3 linked regions of the Arabidopsis thaliana genome follow. The protein of the gene in region 2 interacts with the protein of the main gene of each other region in a pairwise test. Each region holds a gene or a part of one and is shown on either strand. Other genes may lie near its edges. The genes, in order: AT2G18240, AT1G30080 and AT3G06435.

Evidence for each region.
Region 1: the proteins of AT1G30080 (region 2) and AT2G18240 interact in a protein complementation assay, tested with the Arabidopsis thaliana proteins (one large-scale study listed by BioGRID).
Region 3: the proteins of AT1G30080 (region 2) and AT3G06435 interact in a protein complementation assay, tested with the Arabidopsis thaliana proteins (one large-scale study listed by BioGRID).

Annotation. Positions count from the first base shown.
Region 1 is NC_003071.7:7,933,119-7,936,875, reverse strand, and holds the start of AT2G18240 (Rer1 family protein), read right to left. Parts: upstream 1,633-3,757; 5' UTR 1,411-1,632; coding exon 1,049-1,410; intron 826-1,048; coding exon 591-825; intron 481-590; coding exon 412-480; 3' UTR 1-411. Other genes in the region: PPa2 (pyrophosphorylase 2), read left to right, coding at 3,316-3,457, 3,548-3,576, 3,675-3,740. UniProt on the Arabidopsis thaliana protein: Involved in the retrieval of endoplasmic reticulum membrane proteins from the early Golgi compartment.
Region 2 is NC_003070.9:10,551,468-10,555,224, forward strand, and holds the start of AT1G30080 (Glycosyl hydrolase superfamily protein), read right to left. Parts: upstream 1,829-3,757; 5' UTR 1,701-1,828; coding exon 1,628-1,700; intron 1,512-1,627; coding exon 1,169-1,511; intron 997-1,168; coding exon 273-996; coding exon of another isoform or gene 255-272; exon of another isoform or gene 1-254.
Region 3 is NC_003074.8:1,968,765-1,972,521, reverse strand, and holds AT3G06435 (uncharacterized protein), read left to right. Parts: upstream 1-1,737; 5' UTR 1,738-1,807; coding exon of another isoform or gene 1,808-1,817; coding exon 1,818-2,420; 3' UTR 2,421-3,163; coding exon of another isoform or gene 3,164-3,181; 3' UTR 3,182-3,486; downstream 3,487-3,757. Other genes in the region: AT3G06436 (uncharacterized protein), read right to left, coding at 1,526-1,573, 1,808-1,830, 1,910-2,117, 2,159-2,182.

The sequences.
Region 1 (3,757 bases), on a different chromosome or scaffold from region 2:
CCACACAGTTCTCCGAGTATGATGACCAATCTGTATCTGTTTCTGCAAAGAGATTTGGACCAGTGCTTGGTATTGGAGGCTGTCAACACAGCTTTGTGTGATTAGTTGTGTCCAGAGTAGTATCCAAGTCCTGGAACTGTAAAGAATACTTTTTCCTACTTGTGATTCCCAAATTCATTTAAACGTATAATTGTAAAATACACTGTTACACATTACAATGCAAAAACCGGAAAATGCAGGAGATTACTCAAAACTCAGAGAGATTTCTTAGTTCTGTTAAGCTTCAAGAACTTTGTTTTCCTATTCCACCAGCATGGCTATAGTATATTTTACTTTGATATCCTTAGTTTGTATCCTTTCTTGCTTCGCCTATCACCACGTCGAGATCAGTACCTGATCTACTGTTCGCATCTAATCTTGTTTTTCATTTCCCTGAGATGAATTGCTGCTGCTGGGCCTATCATCTCCACCATCACCCTTCTGTCAAAAACATCAGCACAATCTATGTTCAGCACTCTTAACTTTCTAAAGCAGAGATTCAAGACTATCCAAAAGAAATCGAATACAAATCACCCCGTTGCACGATTTACCTTGAGTCTTAAAAAGGTCAGGACACTGTTTACAAGAAACTTGAGCAGCTTCACAGGCTTTCTTACATCGAAAGGAAAGTATCTATACTTGAACATGTGCACGATTAAGCGTTTCATAGTTAAAGAATACAAAACCAACCAGTAACACAACAAGATCGGCCAGAACACAGGCACATCCAGGAAAGAGAAGAATGTCATCACAAATGCAACAACAAATGCTTTAGTCGCTGCATACCTGAAAATCAAAATTGACAAACTTTCATGAGAATTCAAACCCTAAAGCAGACCATTAGACCTAAATCAGTTCTCATACGAATTCACTATCATAACAATCATCAATCAAATTGTCTCAAAAGAAGAAATCTACCAGAACTTTAACAATGAATGGTAAAAACACAAACTTTTCGACAAACCTAAATCAAAATCATCCATCATCAAAAGTAAAAGAGAAATTTTACCAGAACTTGAACTCAGGAAGACGACGAACAAAGGGCTTATACTCATCAGACTCATCAACAGGTAAAGAATCAGGATCCAAAGCTTCAAGTTCAGGATCAACTTTAGGGGAAAGGAAACCAATCAAGAGATTTAAGATATAAGTAGCTAAGCCATAAGAGATAACGAAGTATCCATAAACAGAGTAAACCCTATAGATATAGATCACTGCAGCGACTAAAGTCACAAGCCATCTTCGAACAATGTTAGGAGCAGATCTGTCTAAGTAATTCTGAAACGATTTCGAGAATTCGATTCTCCATTTTGCAAGTGGTGAAGCAACTATGGTGTCTGCTTCATTTTCGCTTCCTGGTTCGTCTTCCATGGAAATTGAACACAAAATCTGCTTTTTCTTCACCTCAAAAACTGGGTCTGGTTATAAATTCTAATCACAATCACTGAACTTCGAATCAACTTCAAAAATCGATTCAAAACAATCTACTCGATTTAGGATGATTTTGAACCAATTAAATTGAAAGTTTCTCAGTTTCGTCTGAATTTTTCTTAGTCGTATTAAAGTCTTGGTTTTTCTGGAAAGAAGAGGAAGAAACTGAATGACGTGGGGAGAAGGAACATGACACGTGTCGCAAAGTAAGATACTTTTGTTAAACATGTTGGGCTTCATAAAATATTTGTTTAAGCCCAGTAGGGAAAATATGTTGAACTTTTTTTGGTTTTTACATGGAACGATTCGATATTCTGTGAGGCCCAACCAGAAAGAATCCAAAACCGAATCTTTTTTGTTTCTCTGGGACCTTAAACCGAATTTTAACGTTTTGCGTATGATTCTCTAGACTTGTAATTCTAGTTGACAGTCACCAAAAAAACACTGCTCGATGGTCACATCCATACGACACAGTTTTTTTGGTTGTGGTTAACCCCACAGCTCAATAATGATCATTTTTTCCCATTTGACATATTAGATACTTATGAAAAAAGAAAAATATCAAAAGTGGTAATTTGTTATTCAACTTGTTTTTGTGACAGAATAATGAAAACAAAAAAGAAAATAATAAATACACAGAATAATGAGTGACTGATTTTGAGTGAAAACAAAAAAGAAAGAAAGAAGAATGAGTGATATAAATTCATTTCTTTATCCTAAGAAAATAATAAATTTGTTTGCCAAAAACAGACAAAATAAAATAAGGAATTCACTGAAAGAAATTGCCTAATTTTCAGGACACGCGTCATATAACAATTTGTTAGTCGGATACTTTTTTGGTACATCACTGTCGTCTCTTTTTCTTTTCGTTCAATTAAAAGGTACACTAACTATTTTTTTAAGAAAGATATTAAAATCTTGAAAAACCATGGCCGTCAGATCCATTAACCTTTCAAATTCAACGGACACGATTCATCGTACGATTGACGATGAACAATAACCGAGGAAAAAGTGACGTCAGCGTCTTCTTCCTCCTCCAACGTCCCATAAAGAAGCGCCACACACACAGTCACACGAAAACTCTACTGTAACTGCAAAATCTTGTTGTTTTCTTAAACGAAGAGAGAAGAAAGAAAGAAAAAAACGTTACGGATTCTCTGCTTCGGTTTCGCGATTGAAGCTTGAGATTTCATCTGTAAGATCATCTTCTTCTTCTTCTCTCGTTTCTTTTTTTCCTTCGAAATCCGTCGATTAGGTCATTTTTAGTTTATCTTCTCCTGTTAATGGTACTTGTTTTGATCACTTCTTGTTGAATCGAAGCGATTTCGTTTGATTTTGCTATTTTCTTGTTGGTTTCGTTTCGTTTTGAGCGCCGAGTACTTGGATTGGTCTTCACAGATGATCGATTCGTCGATTATCTTTCATTTGTTTGGATTAGTTCTGTTTTTCGATTCTATTTCAGTTTCCAATTGATGTAGCTTAGACTAGTTGGTGATTTGAGTGTTTTGATGTGTATTTACATGAAATCGATGATGGATCTATGTTCTTCGCATATCTCTGATACTTTAGCCTTTCGCGTTGTTAGATATTTGCCTAAGATGATATTGAGTTGCATTAGAACAGTGAACCATCGTAGAAATGTGTGCTTCATTTCTCTGCTCGGATTTGAACAGTCATTTTTTATGGTTTATAAGATTGGATTCTGCTGGAATGTTGAAGGATTTGTCTGGTGGTTATTGTATGAAATGGTTAAGTAGTGAGAATAATTTATATGGCCTGTTTTGAGTTTGGTATATGATTGAATGAGACTCTCCTTTTGTTTGCATATTATAGTGAACATCCGATATGGCTGAAATCAAGGATGAAGGAAGCGCCAAGGGCTATGCTTTCCCTCTCAGGAACCCTAATGTTACGCTGAATGAGAGAAACTTTGCAGCCTTCACTCACAGATCAGCTGCTGCTCATCCTTGGCATGACTTGGAGATTGGTAAGAATCCTTGTCTTTGTTACTTTGAATAGTCATGTGAGTCAAGTGTTGATTGTTTGATGTAAGTGTTTTGTTTGTTGAATCTTTCAGGTCCAGAAGCTCCTACTGTTTTCAACTGTGTAAGTTTTATCTTCTTCTACATTGCGGAAGATTAGATCATATTAAGAAAGTTAGTGCTGGTCTTGTGATTGTTAAATGTGCTTGAATTCTTTGTCAGGTTGTTGAAATTAGCAAAGGTGGAAAGGTTAAGTACGAGCTAGACAAGAACAGTGGCCTTATTAAGGTACAGTGTTCTTTGGC
Region 2 (3,757 bases):
TAATCAAGAAATATGTTAAAATAAATATGTTTGGTAAGAATATGTTCTAGAAAAGCCGAACTTTTCAAGTATAAAACGTCACAATTAGAAGAAAGAAACGTCACAATTCTCTTCTTTTTTAGACAACAGGTCAGAATTTGTTTTAAAAATGTTTCTCAATCAAAGCTTTTTTCAAGGGATTTAATGTGCTATATAAAGATTAAAAAGAAAGAAATATGGAAGTAAGAGATCTAGTAGAAACAGAGCAAGTAAAGTTAAATGTTGATACATACCGTGGAGGCAGAGGAAGTGAGGGAAATAATAGAAGTTGAAGAAGTAGTTGATGTTGATGTTAATGATGACGACGATAATAAACCTACATTGTAAGTCATGGTCTCATCAGGCTGATACAATCCATAATTCCTCTCAGAGGTTGGTCCTGGTTTAAGGTCTTCATTGAAAAGAGCAAATAGATAAACATCAAAACTCAAGTTTGGTCTCAATGGCGTTCCTTCATTTTGAAGTTGTCTCCTTAGAATATTTTTGTTATAAACGGCTGCGTTGGCCACAGTGGCTCCAACCTCATCTCCATCGCCTTTAGACGGCCATCCAGTCTCCGAGACCCCAACTTCGATGTCTTTGAAGCCAAGCCTCGCCATGGCAAAGATCACAGCGTCTACTTGAGCGTAGAGCATGTTGTCATAGCGGTACTTGGTATAGGGGTCAACCATTCCAGGGTTAGGGTTGAAGAGGACGTAGTCTAATGGGATCTTTGTTGGGGAATCCTTGTAAGCGAAGTAAGGGTAAGCGTTGATCCAGAAGGGGGAATTCGTGTTACGCAAGAAACCTAGTAGCTGTGTCATTACGCCAGCTACTTCCGGCCTAAAACATCCGGCGGATGGAGGGTAAGATTCTTGAAGGACGGATAGTGAGTTCGGAGTCGATACTTGAATGTACTTGTCTAGTCCGGTTTGGACCAAAGCCCCATGAATGCTCATCATTGCAGGCATAAGATACCTGCGAATCATAGCAATAACGAGGTTGAATACTTTCTTCTTTTTTTGAACTAGAGGATCTCAGGATGATACCCACATGACTACCATGATTTGGTTAGTAGGGCATATTTGTAATGGACCAAGATTTGAAAAGGATAACAATTTATAGGAATGAGGGGATGTATGTAACAAACCCTATAAGGCTTGAGTCATCGTCAGTGTATAGTTCGTTGCCGACGGCGATACCACCGATCTTGGTGGCCGGAAAGTAGGGTTTGATACGGGTAGTGACCCATTGGAGAGCTTGTTGAGGGTCTACTAAGCTGGGAAGCATTTCATTTTCGACGGTGACAAAGAGCTCGATATTGGAATTGGCAAATGAGGTTAACACTCGAGGGTTTGTGTCATAGATTCTTGTCTTATTGATATGGAGTGAACTCAAGAGTTGTAGAACTTTGTCCGGTGGAGGAAGATTGTCGCCGACTTGACCATAGTTGATGCCAAGAGAGGAGACCCTTTGAAACAACAATCCATGTTCTGTGAAAAAAATGTAAGAGAAATTTAAATAATTAAAGTGTAATGACAAACTGAAATTGAGATAATGAATTTTGTTTGTTGGTAGACAGAAATAAGCAATTATTCAAAAACGATACCTAAGAAAGTCAAGGAAAATAGAAGAAGAACGATAGAGTTGGTCATGGCAATTCTGCTAAACATGTTAGACATGGAGAAGAGAGAAAGAGGGAGATAAAGACTGAGGGAGAAAGTGCTTGTAAGAGAATCAATGCAATGAAATGTGGGGATAGATATAGAGATGAAGAATTGAGAAATGGGACCAAGTAGGCGACGAATAATTATTAATTTATAATTTAGAGATAATACTTTACTTTGCCTGCCTTTGTTTTATGGTGAGACATAGGGTTTCTACAATAAAAGTGACAATATGATTAATTCCAAAAATAATTCAATAAGTTATTTAAATTTATACTCGTTAGTTTTGTAATGGGAGTAGGTTTGGCAATAGGTTTATCTTATGGAAGTCTATTGTAAAAATAGATAGTGTTTGCCAAAAACATTCTTTGTGAGGCAACATGGGTTTCATAAAACATTTTGGACCCAAGAAGAAAAAAATATGACATCTTAGATTGTCTCTTTCCAACACATTGCCAACTATGTCAGTCCAAAAAAAAAAAAAAATGAAAAAGTGGCCTAAAAGAAGACACTTTCTTCAGACAAAGGCAAAGGTGGGAAAAATTGAATTGCCCACTATAATAGGTTTTTAATCTTAACAATATGTCTATTAAACACAAAGAAAAAAAAAACATTATGTCTTTGGCATAGAATTTGGAGGATCCCAAATTTGGTAGTTGGGTGAACCAAAAAAATGGAACGTAAAGAGTAGAAATCACACCATCATAATGATAAGAAGGATAGTGCGCTTATCTTCAGTTTATTATATTTATATAGTATTGCAATTTGCATCTTGTGAAATAAAAGCTCTTTTAAAAAACATTGTAACGATTGTTAGAATTGTATTTCACGTGAAATTATAGTATGACCCTCAGTTAATCCTATATTTGATATTCAACGGAGTTTAGTCGCATATTTAAAACTGATCCTACGTTTCAATTCAGAATTTATATACCGTTAGCTTACATGTAAAAGTAAATATTTCTAAATTCAACCTAACTCATCTAGTCAACCCGCTCGATCACAAAAAAAATTAGGTTGCACAACGGTTCATTATTTATGTTTTAGATGAAATAAAATAAATTAATTACTCGATTAATCAATCAATGGAAAAAAACGGTTTTAAACAAGTTTACAAAAAGAAAAGTTAATCAAAGTTGATATGTAAATTTACAGCCTAATTGGCCCTAGCCAATAATTTAGTTGTCTGAAACAATTTTTTTTTTCTTTCAGTTTGATATTAAAACAATAAAAGCTCTAACTATACACCAGGTGATAATTGTAATTCAACTTCATTTTGTACAGATTTTTGGAAGTTTGGGTTGTTACTTTTCTTATAGAACGGACTTCTTACTACAGTATAACCTCTATAAATTAATAACCTTTATAAATTAATAAATTCTTCCGGTCCCGAGTTGGGACTAGTGTAAAAAATGACACAAATCGATAAATTAATAAGATAATAATTTTTTGGAAAGTTCTATGTAAATATATGGTCTCATCGATATCATAAATTAATAATTGTATAAATATATCAACTATATATATATATTATATGTAAAAAATTTCTTTAAAATATATTTATAATAATTTTTTGTTTAAATTCATATTTGTTATTTGTTTGATTATAGTTTTCATATTTTACTATACCAAAACTTTTGTTATTTGTTTAATAATGTTTTCTAGACATTATTATTATGTTTTATTTGTAACTGGTTCTAGAAATATATTTTTTATAATGAAAAAAATCTTATAAATTTTTTTAAAAAGTTACCAAATTAAGAAAATCTCTCTATAAATTAATAAATATTAATTTATCAATAAATTAATACCTCTCTAAATTAATAAAATTTTGCAGTCCCAAATAGAGGTTATACTGTATATCGGATATTGATTAATTTCTGAAAATTTCAAATATATTAAATGGAATAGAGATCTGAAAACATATGTAAAGTAGCCTGCTTTATGAAATGATGCAACAAAAGTGACCCAATTTTATTTTTTTCGTAACCAACCCAAGAATCTAGTAACTTTTTTGTTTTTGCTAAACAAGAATCTAGTAACTTTTGGAAGATGAATTTCACTATAACGAT
Region 3 (3,757 bases), on a different chromosome or scaffold from region 2:
ACTTATTAAAAAATCCGTCCAAAAAAATATATAGTATAGTTTGGATCGCATGAAAACATATCTAAACATAAGTCTTTGTTAGGGGTCGGATTGGGCCCTTCTCAAGTAGTTCATCAGCTCGCCCTTCTCAAGAAGCTCGTTAGCTCGCTCCACTTCGTCAAGCTCTTCAGATCGCCTTTAAGCTCTTCAAACTCGACTCGTCCTCAAGCTCCTCAGCTCGTCTTCAAGCTCTTCCCATCACTCAGCGACCATTTCCTCGCCTAGCTGTCAGCTAGTCAGCTCGTCCAACTCCTCGTCTAGCTATCAGCTCATCCCTCGTCAACTACCTGCCGACCTACCTCCAATGACGGCCTAGCTCACTTATTCTAATATGAACTACGTGTGGCTTGATCCCTTTCTAAGGGTACGTAGGCAACCTTTTACAAGGTTCAGCTATAAAACGAATAAACTCTATTCTTCCTCGGACATCAAGTTCGTCTTCCGGCCTCAAGCTCGCCTTTCATCTACAATCAGCTCGTTCTTACTCCATCTATGCTCGTTGAAGAAATCATCCTTTGTAATCCGTCCAATTCGCCTAAGTCGCAGGCTCGTCTTTAATAGAAAGATTCTTCCTTCCCTAGAGATCCCATTTTCGTACTTGTGTGATTCGTGCATCAACAGTTGGCGCGCCAGGTAGGGGGATAGCTCGAAGTGGCTTGATCCCTTTCTAAGGGTACGTAGGCAACCTTTTACAAGGTTCAGCTATAAAACGAATAAACTCTATTCTTCCTCGGACATCAAGTTCGTCTTCCGGCATCAAGCTCGCCTTTCATCTACAATCAGCTCGTTCTTACTCCATCTATGCTCGTTGAAGAAATCATCCTTTGTAATCCGTCCAATTCGCCTAAGTCGCAGGCTCGTCTTTAATAGAAAGATTCTTCCTTCCCTAGAGATCCCATTTTCGTACTTGTGTGATTCGTGCATCAACAGTTGGCGCGCCAGGTAGGGGGATAGCTCGAAGATATCTCTCAAAACTACGACCCCGCGACGAAGCAAAGTGATAACAAACAGACTACATGGAGCATTCGATACCGACTCGTCAGGCTCTGGAAGTAAAACGACAACGTCGATCCCCGGGAGAGCCAGTCACTCGACCTCTTCATTCGATATCGCAGCATGTTCTCCGACAAGAAAAGGACTTCAAGGAACTATCGACCCCATCATCCTAGGCGATGACACTTCCAGCCCGGCAGTCAGGACAATAACACTGACCAACGAGGAAGTGCCGCCGATCAAAGAGGAACATCCCATAACCTCATTAAACATACCGACCTCGTTATCACTCACGCCTAACCAAGAACAAGAGGAGAAGTCATCAGGCGGGCGTCACTTGGAGAACCTCGACGATGACACTCCCAGCTCGGCAGCTCGGACGATAACGTCAGCGCACGGGAAGACAACTCAAATAAAGGAAGAATACTACTCGGTATGTAAAAAAATTTTATTATTACTTTTTCAACCTAGTTATTTGCAGGTAAAAAAATCATTACTTTTTAAAAAGGCTAGCAGACGAATCAACACGGTATGCTATTAACTAAAACCAAAATAAAAATAAAACTTAGTGGTTTTCCAAAAATAAAAAACAGTGAGCGGATGACAGTTGTCAAAAGCAGCACATGGTTTTACTTACTTTCCCGGTTTAAAGAAAGAAGCAAACCCTAGTTTTAGAGCATCTTTCTTTCTTTCTTTCTTTTTCCCGTCGCTTTTAAAGCATCTTTCTTATCCGTCGCAGTTCATCTTCCTAACTCCATCTCTATAAAAGAAAAACCCCGGCAACAATGGCCAAAAAATCTAAGCGAAACCAAAATAATAAAGGAAAGACGAAGATTCCCCAGAGAGTTGAAGTGTTTGGTGTGAATGATCCAGTAACCAGATTTGGTTGGACTATCATGGCTTTTCTCTGCGTTTTTGGAGCTGTGGGTGCTGTGAATGCCTTGGAGATCCAGATGGATGTCTCTTATCTGGTAATGTTTGTTGTAGCTATCTATGTGATTCCAGTCTTGCATTCCATTTTCTCTGAAGCTCCATCTCCAGTTTACAGAGCACATCGATGGGTGAGAACTGTTATCCCTCTCATACTGCTTACCATAATCTACTTTACTGTCTTCAATTTCCAAACCCTTGCAGCATCTGTTTTGATCATATCAGTGGTTTTTGGAATTTTCGTGTTGGTTCAGTTGGTTTTCCCTGTAGAAAGATTTTACTTTTTTTATGTAGTGCTCATTTTGTTATTTGGATGCTGCTCAGCTGTATTTGCTGGTCAGTATGATCCCAAAACCCAGCCATTTGGGTTCTGCCTATTAACTCTCTTTGTTTTTGAAATGTTTTTCTACTTTTTCTACTATCCTGGGCCTACTAATAGGGCATTCAAATTCTATTAGATTACTCTCAAAATGATTGTCAGATCTAATTCACAAGAGACTTTTTTTGCATGTATAAATATCTGGATATTTAAGCATGACTTAGACTATCTATTTTTTTTTTTATAAATTATATTAGTTGATCTTGTTAGTTTGGTTAGGAAGGTATTAAAATATTACAAAGTGGATTTTTTTCTTAAATGACCGCTACACTGCTTATCTCGAATTTGGAATATTTCCATACTAATGTTTGGGAGTAGCCATATAGCCTATTGTTGGACTACCATCATAATATAAACTGTTAGGGTCTAATCTAGATTTTCGATATAAATGTGATATTTGTTTTAGGAAAGCTCGAACCCTTGGAGAGTGTTTTAGCACATCCCAAATCTCACTAATTACGGATAACTATGTATATATCTATTTTTAGATCTCTTATATTTGAAAACTAGCTAGATAGATTTTTTGAGACAAATCATTACCATTCAAAGCACCTCATATCTAACTAGATGAATGTGGTAGATGCAACTCTTTTTTTTTCTTTATTAGAAATTTAGGATACAGTCTTTATTAGTGAGACGCTATAACTCAACGGAATATTGTTGTGACCAACATTTACCTAATTCGTATCCTTACAATCTCAAGATGGCAGCATAGTAAACGTTGGATATATGCTTTATCTTCTTCTTTTTATATCCAAAATATATAACGTTGTTTACCGTAATGCCGTCGAAAATGAGTATCATAGGGGAACTTTTTTGTAGACGTTGACAATTCAGTAGGGACCTCAAGAATACAGAAGAAGGAACAAAATAAGGAATGCTTCTGATTCATTGTCCATTGACGAGAGAACTTATTGGCCTTTTGCATGTAAACTAATAAATACATATCTTTTTTTTTGTCTAAAAAATAAATACATATCTTAAGTGTCGTCTTTCCACTAAGCAGATTTCTCACCTGTGCAAATATTGTCCCTCTAAGAAAAACCTTTTCTTTATGTAAACATTGTCCCTAATCATGTTTTCCAATTATGTCTTGGATACTAGAAAAAATTCGAAAAGACACTCATATTTTTATATACATCCCAATATAAAAATTTTTATCCTACACTAGAAAACACATATAAAATAGAAATGGCGATGCATGTGAAGATATGATAAATTAAGTCTAGGCCTCCGTTATGACCCGAAACAAAATTTCTAAACCGACCGAGCCAGTTTTGAAAAGTATCCAACCCTATTAACTCATCATAAAAGTGTTTATTTTCTAATTTTCAGCTCAATATATGTCAATTCTTATAAAAGCCCCCAATATGAATACCAGTTAAAAAAAAAAAAATGAATACCAGTTACCACGCA